2 linked regions of the Drosophila melanogaster genome follow. The protein of the gene in region 2 purifies or fractionates together with the protein of the main gene of each other region. This does not show direct contact. Each region holds a gene or a part of one and is shown on either strand. Other genes may lie near its edges.

Region 1 (4,181 bases), on a different chromosome or scaffold from region 2:
AATGTTATCGCCCCAATTTTTGATTCTAAGTTTAATCTCAGGGTTACAGCTGCTTTCCTTGGCAGATGCTGATCCCATGATAGAGGTCTTCCGATGGAAGCAGATGGACTTTTACAATCGCGGAGATGGCCATCTAAGCTCGGGCGGAAGGAAAGACAGGCCCAGCTTTTCAGGTTAGTACTCATAATATGATATTACTAGTTCTCATTCAGCAATAGCAATCTCGCGAGCCTTGTTAGATAGATTTATTGGTATTTACTTATGTACTATTTTTTTATTGTTCAACTAGCTCCGGTTGTCTTTCCTGGAAAGTATTCTCGTCGAAAGCGTAAGATTATGACCTCCCGCGATACACCGGTAGTGGTCAGCTCCCGCGCCGACAGCGACGACCCCAACGCCTCCTACATTCCGTACAATAACGTGCCCATGGGAGCCACTCACTTCCGCGGCCGCCTCTTTGTCACGATGCCTCGTCGACGGGTGGGCATCCCATCCACCTTGAATTACATCGATCTGGCCGAGGACGGATCGAATCGCAGCCCCAAGCTGCGGGCCTATCCCAACTTTGCGCTTAATCAGTTCAACGCGAGTGCGGAGAATCTGGTGTCCGTCTACAGAACCTCCGTGGATGCATGCCAGCGTCTCTGGTTTATCGACACGGGAATGCTGGAGTATCCAAGTGAGTTGGCATGTATTGACATGTAATATAAAAGATCAGGATCGATCCGTATTAATCTAATTTGGTGACCAAGAATATAAAAAACTCAATCATGATTCTCATATCCAGATAACCGCCAACAGATCCGCCGTCCCAGCATTTGGGTAGTTGACTTGGCCACGGATCAGGTGCTGAAGCGCTTCGATGTTCCGGAGAGTATAGCTGAGACGGGTCGCGGATTGGCCAGCATCACCGTGGATGTGAAGGCGGGTCAGTGTGGCGATGCCTACGCCTATATTCCGGATCTGGTGTACCGGCGCCTGTACGTCTATCACCTGCGAAACGATAGAATCTGGTCCTTCGAGCACAACTACTTCAACTTCGATCCGCTGTCCGGGGATCTCAGCATTGGCGGCCAGACCTTCCGCTGGGACGATGGCATCTTCTCAATAACTTTGGGGGCCCAGAAACTGGATGGGAGCCGCGATGCCTACTTCCATCCCATGGCCAGTACGAATGAGTTTGTGGTCTCCAACCGGGTTCTGCAGCAGGAATCCAACGCCGCACGTTCCGATCATGGGAACGATTTCCGGGTACTCGGAAGCCGTGGTCCGTCCACCCAGTCTACGATGCACGCTTACGATCCTGGGACTGGGGTGATCTTCTTCGATGAGATCCAGCGCAACGGAGTGGGCTGCTGGAAGACCAGCAAGCCCATCTCGGCGGAAAACTATGGCTCTGTGGATTCCAATGCCGAGGATATGATTTATCCCAGCGACTTGTCGGTAAGCAAATGGTTTTGGATAAAAAAGTTGAAGAAAAAAAGTTATACATCTCATCTTACTATTGCAGATTGACGAGGATGGCACCATTTGGGTCATGTCCAACTCCATGCCCATCTTCATCTACTCCACACTGGACACGAGTATATACAATTTCCGGATTTGGAAGCAGAAGGCTTCACTGGCCAAGAGGGGCACAGTTTGTGAGTGATTCGTGTGGAATTCCTGTTGAATTTGTTACTTAATTAAAAATACATACATAAGTAAGAATGACGAAATTTTCGAATAAATAGTTAGCTTTACAAATATACTCTTCAGATTATCAACAAATCTTAAAAGTTGAATAAAGAGACATGGAAAATAAGAGCTTGGGAATCCCAGTGACTGCTCTTATCACTTTACATTCTGAGCTCATTTTTGAGTCGCAGAGCACGTTTAACTCAGTTGAACCCAAGCTGAGGAGTCAGTCAGTCACAAGTGGGTTTTCAGCCAGGAAAGGCGAACGACCGGAATTTTATAAAATGTTATCGCTGGACGTTCTGCTCCTGTGCGCAATCTCAGGGTTCCAATTGCTAATCTCTGCAGATGGAGATCCCATGATTGAGGTCTTCAAGTGGAAGCAGTTGGACTTTTACAATCGCGGCGATGGCTATAAGGATTTGTGGAACAGGATCTGCATTCCAGGTAACTCCAAAAATATCCAATTGAAATATGTTCAATTTCAAACATCAGCAAATGTCGGTGAATCACTAAGTTTTTCCACAAAACATTATGAAATGGTTGTAATATGAATATTATTTTAATCACCATTTTATCGTCACTTTTATAACGAATAATATGTATATATATCACAATTATTCGTTCGACAAAGATTCGCATTTCTACAACTCCCGCAAGTGCTTAGGCTCCTCATCCTCAGGATCCTTCATCCAATACAACAACGTGCCCCAAGGAGTAACCCACTTTCGAGGACGCCTCTTTGTCACCGTGCCACGGCGACAGCCGGGCATTCCGTCCACCTTAAACTACATCGATCTGGCCAAGGATGGGTGGAGTCAGAGTCCCCATCTACGGGCCTATCCCAACTTGGCGGTGAATCAGTATAATGCGAGCGAGCAGAACCTAGTGTCTGTCTATAGAACCTCAGTGGATGTCTGTGGGCGTCTCTGGTTCGTCGACACCGGAATGCTGGAGTTTCCCAGTGAGTATAATCATTTGCTTTATAGGCAAGGTGATCCAGGTTAAAATAATATTATATAACCATCAGATAATCGCCAGCAGATTCGACATCCTAGCATTTGGGTGATCGATTTGGCTAACGATCGCTTATTGAAACGATTTGAGATTCCGCAGAGCATAGTGGAGATCGGACGTGGACTAGCCAGCATCACAATCGATGTGGGCGCTCGGAGGTGCAACGATGCCTATGCCTACATTCCGGATTTGGTCAATCGCAGACTGCACGTCTATCACCTGCGAAGCGATAGAATTTGGTCCTTCGAGCACAGCTTCTTTAACTTTGATCCCCTTTCTGATAATCTCAACATTGGTGGGCAGACCTTCCGCTGGGACGACGGGATTTTCTCGGCGACCTTGGGATCATATAAGCCCGATGGCAGCAGGGATGTCTTCTTCCATCCTATGGCCAGCACGAATGAGTTTGTGGTTAGCAACAGGGTCTTGCAGCAGGAATTCAATGCAGCACGTTCTGATCATGGAGACGACTTCCATCTTCTGGGAACTCGTGGTCCGTCCACCCAGTCCACAATGCATAAATACGATCCGCGGACCGGGGTGATTTTCTTTGCCGAGGTCCAGAAGAGTGGAGTGGGCTGCTGGAAAACCAGCAAGCCGTTCTCAACGGAAAACCATGGCTCCGTTTATTCCAATTCATCGGAGATGATTTATCCCAGCGATTTGACCGTAAGCTCATCCCTTTCTATTTGTAACACGAAAACGAAGGTTAAGTGCGTTGTTGTTTTAGATCGACGAGGAGGGATACATTTGGGTGATGTCCAACTCCATGCCCATCTTTGTGTACTCCAAGCTGGATGTGGAGAAGTACAATTTCCGAATCTGGAGGCAGTCGACATTGCTGGCCAAGAGGGGAACAGTTTGTGAGTGATTTGCGTGGAATTGCTTTAATGAATTTTTCGCATAAGTAATATGTTTATCGAAATAACACACGGAAACTTATTAATAAAATAAATCAAAAAGCATTTACATATGTATCGTTTAAAATTGCCTAAATTTGAGTACTCATTTTTATCACATCTTATATGTTACGACAGATGCGTATGTCTTTTCGCACGAAACAAATGAAAACATGAAAGAAAACAACATCAATGAACAAAATCAGAGGCACTCCAATATTGCATAAGGATACTAAGTTGCACAGTTGTGTGTGTAAGGGTTACGCGTGTATATGTTAACCTAAAATACTTGAATTTCATGTTGTAAATTTCTCATAACTTTTCCGCATCTAAACAAATTCGAGGTGTAAATTTGGTAGCCCTTCAAAGTGTCAGCTATACATATGGTGTATATAGATCTATATATATATATATATATATATCTATTCAATTTGTATATATATGTACGAGTTTATATAAAGTTTTGCAAAAAATATATAGGTTGCTTTTGTATATGTTCCTCAACGCTACACCTAAGTCCTTTAAGTAGTTTCGATCATAGTTAATATATGTAGTGTGTAGTACGTAATATAGCGAAATGTTTCTACC
Region 2 (5,098 bases):
CTGCGTTCGAATCCATTTCACACCCAATTTAATGTAAGATGTCTTGAAATTGGCTAGGTTATAAAGTGATCTTGAATTTAGATGAAAACATTTGAAAAGCATGCCGTGATGCTGTCAAATGAGAAAAGGAAGTAACAAAAAATGGATTGGATCTGGATCCCACAATCCTCTAATTACTGATCTTATACACGAAAGAGAACCTAAAAATTACGATATATTATATATAAATATACATATATATTGTAGGATATGTATACATACATATACTTTTTGTATTTTGTAGTCTAGAGTGCGCACGTTTACTTTATGCGAGTTTAACATTCTAAACCCAAAATAAAGGTATGTCCACCGCTGTTATGATTTTCTACAGTACTTAACGACTTGAACGCATATTTCCTCTTTCGGGAAATGTACACAAAACCCATTTAAGCTTAATTTATTATCGTATTTGTAATAAATTGAAAAGATTATTATATTGCACCATCATGCATAATTTAGATTTTCGCTACACTGTAGCGCCTTCGTTTAATTATAATTTTGTAATAAATCAAGCTAAAACAAAGACTTTGATTTTGTTTTAATCGATTTGAGTTTTTCTTTTGATCGCGCACAGAACTAACACGAAAGTGATTGTGATTCAAAATAAGTAACTAACATTTGTAAAATGGCGAAACTTGCGGCACGATCGCCCCTAATGACTATCCCCCACACACCGATCTGCACACAAAGCTATCACTTGTGTAAACTGAGCAACTAACAATATTTTATGAAGCCCACACTATGTGCTACCGAGGCATTAAAACCTATAATAATTCTAGCTGTAAGCTCTACGAAAACTACAAACGGTAGGAAATCAGAAACAAAGAATAAAGATGTAAACATATATACACACACTGTGCTAACTGTGCTAAAGGAATTTTGGAGATATGGATGTAATACTACTTTGGTGATATCACGCAAAAGGCAATTGAAACAACTAACGAAATAATTTTACAATAACGTATTGATAAACATGTATCTATGTAAGCACATGCGAATGGCGCGTATTTTGCTATATTTATGTTTATTTTCTAACGGGACGTAAACACTTTAAATTTTCAAAATAAATGTTTTTCCACCTCAACATCATAAAGTGATAACAAGATCTTTTGAATTTGGTGGGCATTTGCGATATCGATATAAAATCTACCGAAATCGATAGCGATTGTATTGTCGCTGCCTGAATATTTTTTAGATCACTTGGTTCTTGTTTCTTAGAATGCATGGAAAAACTTTTATCTTATAGAATTTTAAATTGTGATCTAAGCTGAAGTTAATTGTTATAGGATGGCTGGTTTTATTTAAGTTCAACATTTATATACGAAGGATGGCCTAAATAAATGTTCTAATCAATTTATATTATATTACCTTAATTGTTAATGGTAGACAATACATAAAATAATATTTGATTTTAAATTATACAATGCTTTTAGAACATCCAGTGCGATACCACCGCCTATCGGTGCCGGCTGGTTATCGATATCATCAGTTTGCACCATCGTCGCCCACCCACCACTAGTTGTCAACATATAATTGCAAAGATGCGGCCCACATTCCTGGCCATTTTGTGCTTCCTGGCGTGGAATCCCAGCTCCGAGGCGACCGGCAATCTGAGTCCTGGAGCCGTGGGCGTGCACCGTCGCTTCGAGTACAAGTACTCGTTCAAGCCGCCGTATTTGGCACAGAAAGACGGCACCGTGCCGTTTTGGGAGTACGGGGGAAGTGAGTACGAGTGGAAGACGCAGCTCCACGTCAGTTGTTTTGGCCCACTCGCTGCTGGTCTGCGGCCATGGGTGCGAGCGAGATGGCGCGAGGCGGCCAAGTGTACACGCAGGCACTTTGTTTGGATGTCGTTTTGACCACGGTTTCGGGTGTTTCTATAGCCACAACTTGTTGCTCCTCATTTCAGATGCCATCGCCAGTTCGGAAAGTGTGCGCGTGGCGCCATCGCTGCGCTCACAGAAGGGTGCCATCTGGACAAAGTCACAGACGAACTTCGACTGGTGGGACGTGGAGATCGTGTTCCGGGTGACGGGACGTGGCAGGATCGGAGCCGATGGATTGGCCTTCTGGTACACCACGGAAAAGGGTGACTACAATGGGCCTGTGTTCGGATCCTCGGACCGCTGGAATGGTCTGGCCATCATGTTCGATTCCTTCGATAATGACAACAAGCACAACAATCCTTACATCAGTGCCGTGCTCAATGATGGCACCAAGCTGTATGACCATGCCGAAGATGGAACCACTCAGCTCCTGAGCGGTTGCCTCAGGGATTTCCGTAACAAGCCCTTCCCTACACGGGCGCGAATCGAGTACTACAACAACGTGCTTACCGTCATGATCCACAACGGAATGTCCAACAACAACGATGACTACGAGCTGTGTCTGAGAGCGGATGGCGTCAATCTGCCCAAGAACGGCTACTTTGGCATTTCCGCCGCCACGGGCGGTCTGGCCGATGACCACGATGTGTTCCATTTCCTGACCACGTCGTTGCATGCCGCTGGACAAGTTCAGGAGCAGCCCAAGGTGGAAAACCAGGAGAAGCTTACGCAAGAGTACAAGGAATACCAAGATAAACTGGAGAAACAGAAGCAGGAGTACAAGAAGGACCATCCCGACGAGGTAATTGCCACGCAGCCAGCTGATAAAGATGTCTTATCGCTAGTTTTGATAATCAACTTTCGTATAATCCCACAGCACAAAGACGAGGAGGACTGGGAGGAGTTCTACGAGTCGGAGAACCAGCGTGAGCTGCGTCAGATCTGGCAGGGTCAGAGCCAAATTGCCGATCACCTACGCGAACTTTCCCGCAAAGTGGATGAGATTATTGGCCGCCAGGAGACCACGCTGTCGCTGGTCTCACGTAATGCTGGACAGGCTCTGCCTCCGCCCGCCGCCGGCGGAGTGCCACAGCAACAGCTGCCCGTTGGCGCAGTCAGCAGGAGCGATGTAGATCTTCTGCTCACTAATCAGAACATGCTGCTCAGTTCCATCCGCGAGATTCGTCAACTGGTTGGCGATATCAATGTGCGCACTGATAACATTCAAACGAATCAGAAGCATGCGCCCACAGCACAAATCCAATCCACCGGCTATGATGTACAAACGCTCATCGCCGAGATGCGCGATGGCATGAATCAGGTCAAGCAGGGCATCACCCACGTGGGCCAAAGGTGAGGAATACGCTCAAAGTCTATTTTAAGTTTCCTAAAGCTGTTGTCATCGAAGTTATTCTGAGCTCGAATTAATTTTAACCTTTTCAGCCATATTTATACTAATTTTTCGTATTCCACATTATGAAATTAGAGTTTTAACAAGTTTGATTCAGAGGAACATGTTTATGAGTTTTAGACTATTATACTTTATTGTCATCTTTTAAGTACCTCCTTGATACTCAATATGCATTCCCTTACCTTGCAGATTGGCAGCGCCACAGGGAGCAGCGCAGGTGGCCAATTGTCCCACGGGCAATTGCGTTGGAGTCACATTGTTCCTAAGCGTAACTGTTGTGCAACTGCTGCTAGTCTTCATCTACAACGTCTTCAAGTGAGTTCATGGAATCTTTAAGCGTGGATTCGAAACTAAACAATCTAACTTATTATTCCTTGCAGAAACCGCAGCGAAGCACAGGCGAAAAAGTTCTATTAGGCGAATTCGCGACTTATTGGGATCGTAACGAATAACAAACACACAAGCATACACCCACAGAAATCACGAGGAAACAGATTCGCACACCTGACTAGGCAGCAACTAAATTTAGTTAAAATGAAAGATTTAAGACTTCAGCGTAGCATGCTCTACCATTATGTGTAACTGTTTGTTTTTTAAATAGAAGTCTGTTTAAGAAGTCAGGTCACGAATACAAACTCAAGTCGTTACTTAATCAAAGCAAGAACAAGAAATTTGATCAATGATGTATGCCTCATGACAATGCCACGCAATACAAAACGAAGAAACCGTCGAAGAAGCCACAAGACAAACTTCCCTTAGTAATAGCCAACAGAAGATGTTTCATATTTGTTTTAGCAAGTCAAGTCGAAAGTTTCACTCCATTCTCAACTCTGCATATCATGTGTGCAGGCATTTATAAGAAGCACAAGAAAATCTATCTAAAAAAAAATAAAAATAAAAATGGCAAAATCTATATAAGTACGAAAATTCCGTAAACGTAGCAAATTTTTGTAATATCTTGTATACTTTAGAGTTGAGATGAATCCATCAGGCTCGGCTCTTGAAACTGAATTGGCAACATAAATCTTTTTTCCCATTTTCATGCGCCAAATGGTCAACAAAGCTAGTTAGCCAGCATTTTTGTTATTACGCCAGAAAGTGAATTAATTTAATAATTATGATGAACTGTCTCACTAAGTTTTTGTTCGGTTCGCATCGTCACTGGTGCGATGTAAGGAAGTTTTCTACTGAATAATCTTAATATACATACTGATAAATTATAAAACAATTGAAGTGAAGTGTGTTTTTATATATGTTGTCCATTCCAGTCTCGATAGAAATGTTTAAAGTGAAAATAAAAATCAATTTATAGAAAAATCTATCTCCAACTGTTCAACTTGATAGTTTTAATCTGCGTCCTCATTTTATTTTTATACTTTTCCGAATGCGATATTATTTTCGCTGATGTCGACAGAGGAAAAAGTTTATTTCTTGAAAAGTCCTCGCAAGCATAAACTAGAATCCCTGTCAGTTGCCCATCCCCATCTTCATCCTCCCATCGATGACAATGCGGCAAAAATGGCGCCACTTGGTCGCCAGAATGCGTGGGGCTGGGGAACGAGTTGGGTTCTGGTGAACTTTGGCCATAAAATGTAACTGCCAATGGTGGCATTGTGGGCAGGTCCTCTGTGGTCTGAGTACCCATTCCATCGCATTGGGGAAAATCCCAGGAAAAGCACAGCCAAAGATAGATGGACAGAAGCCAACGGCAGTCGCGGCCCATGCAATAAATTCTCTACGGGATCGGGGAATGGGTTACACAGTTCTGGTGTGCGGTTGGATGGTAGCTTCGCCTATGTGCTCCGTTTCCTATATACTTTCA

What was found.
Region 1: the proteins of ergic53 (region 2) and yellow-f purify together in Drosophila melanogaster (affinity purification with mass spectrometry, with the first as the bait; one large-scale study listed by BioGRID). This does not show direct contact.

The regions. Positions count from the first base shown.
Region 1 is NT_033777.3:12,990,926-12,995,106, reverse strand, and holds yellow-f (yellow-f), read left to right. Parts: upstream 1-1,905; 5' UTR 1,906-1,961; coding exon 1,962-2,124; intron 2,125-2,311; coding exon 2,312-2,641; intron 2,642-2,707; coding exon 2,708-3,363; intron 3,364-3,424; coding exon 3,425-3,565; 3' UTR 3,566-3,658; downstream 3,659-4,181. Other genes in the region: yellow-f2, read left to right, coding at 2-173, 290-679, 788-1,443, 1,511-1,651. UniProt on the Drosophila melanogaster protein: Tautomerization of L-dopachrome with decarboxylation to give 5,6-dihydroxyindole (DHI). Also catalyzes the tautomerization of the methyl ester of L-dopachrome and dopamine chrome. May play a role in melanization reactions during late pupal and adult stages.
Region 2 is NT_037436.4:8,533,426-8,538,523, forward strand, and holds ergic53 (ergic53), read left to right. Parts: upstream 1-1,551; 5' UTR 1,552-1,580; coding exon 1,581-1,761; intron 1,762-1,948; coding exon 1,949-2,667; intron 2,668-2,742; coding exon 2,743-3,218; intron 3,219-3,465; coding exon 3,466-3,591; intron 3,592-3,656; coding exon 3,657-3,693; 3' UTR 3,694-4,588; downstream 4,589-5,098.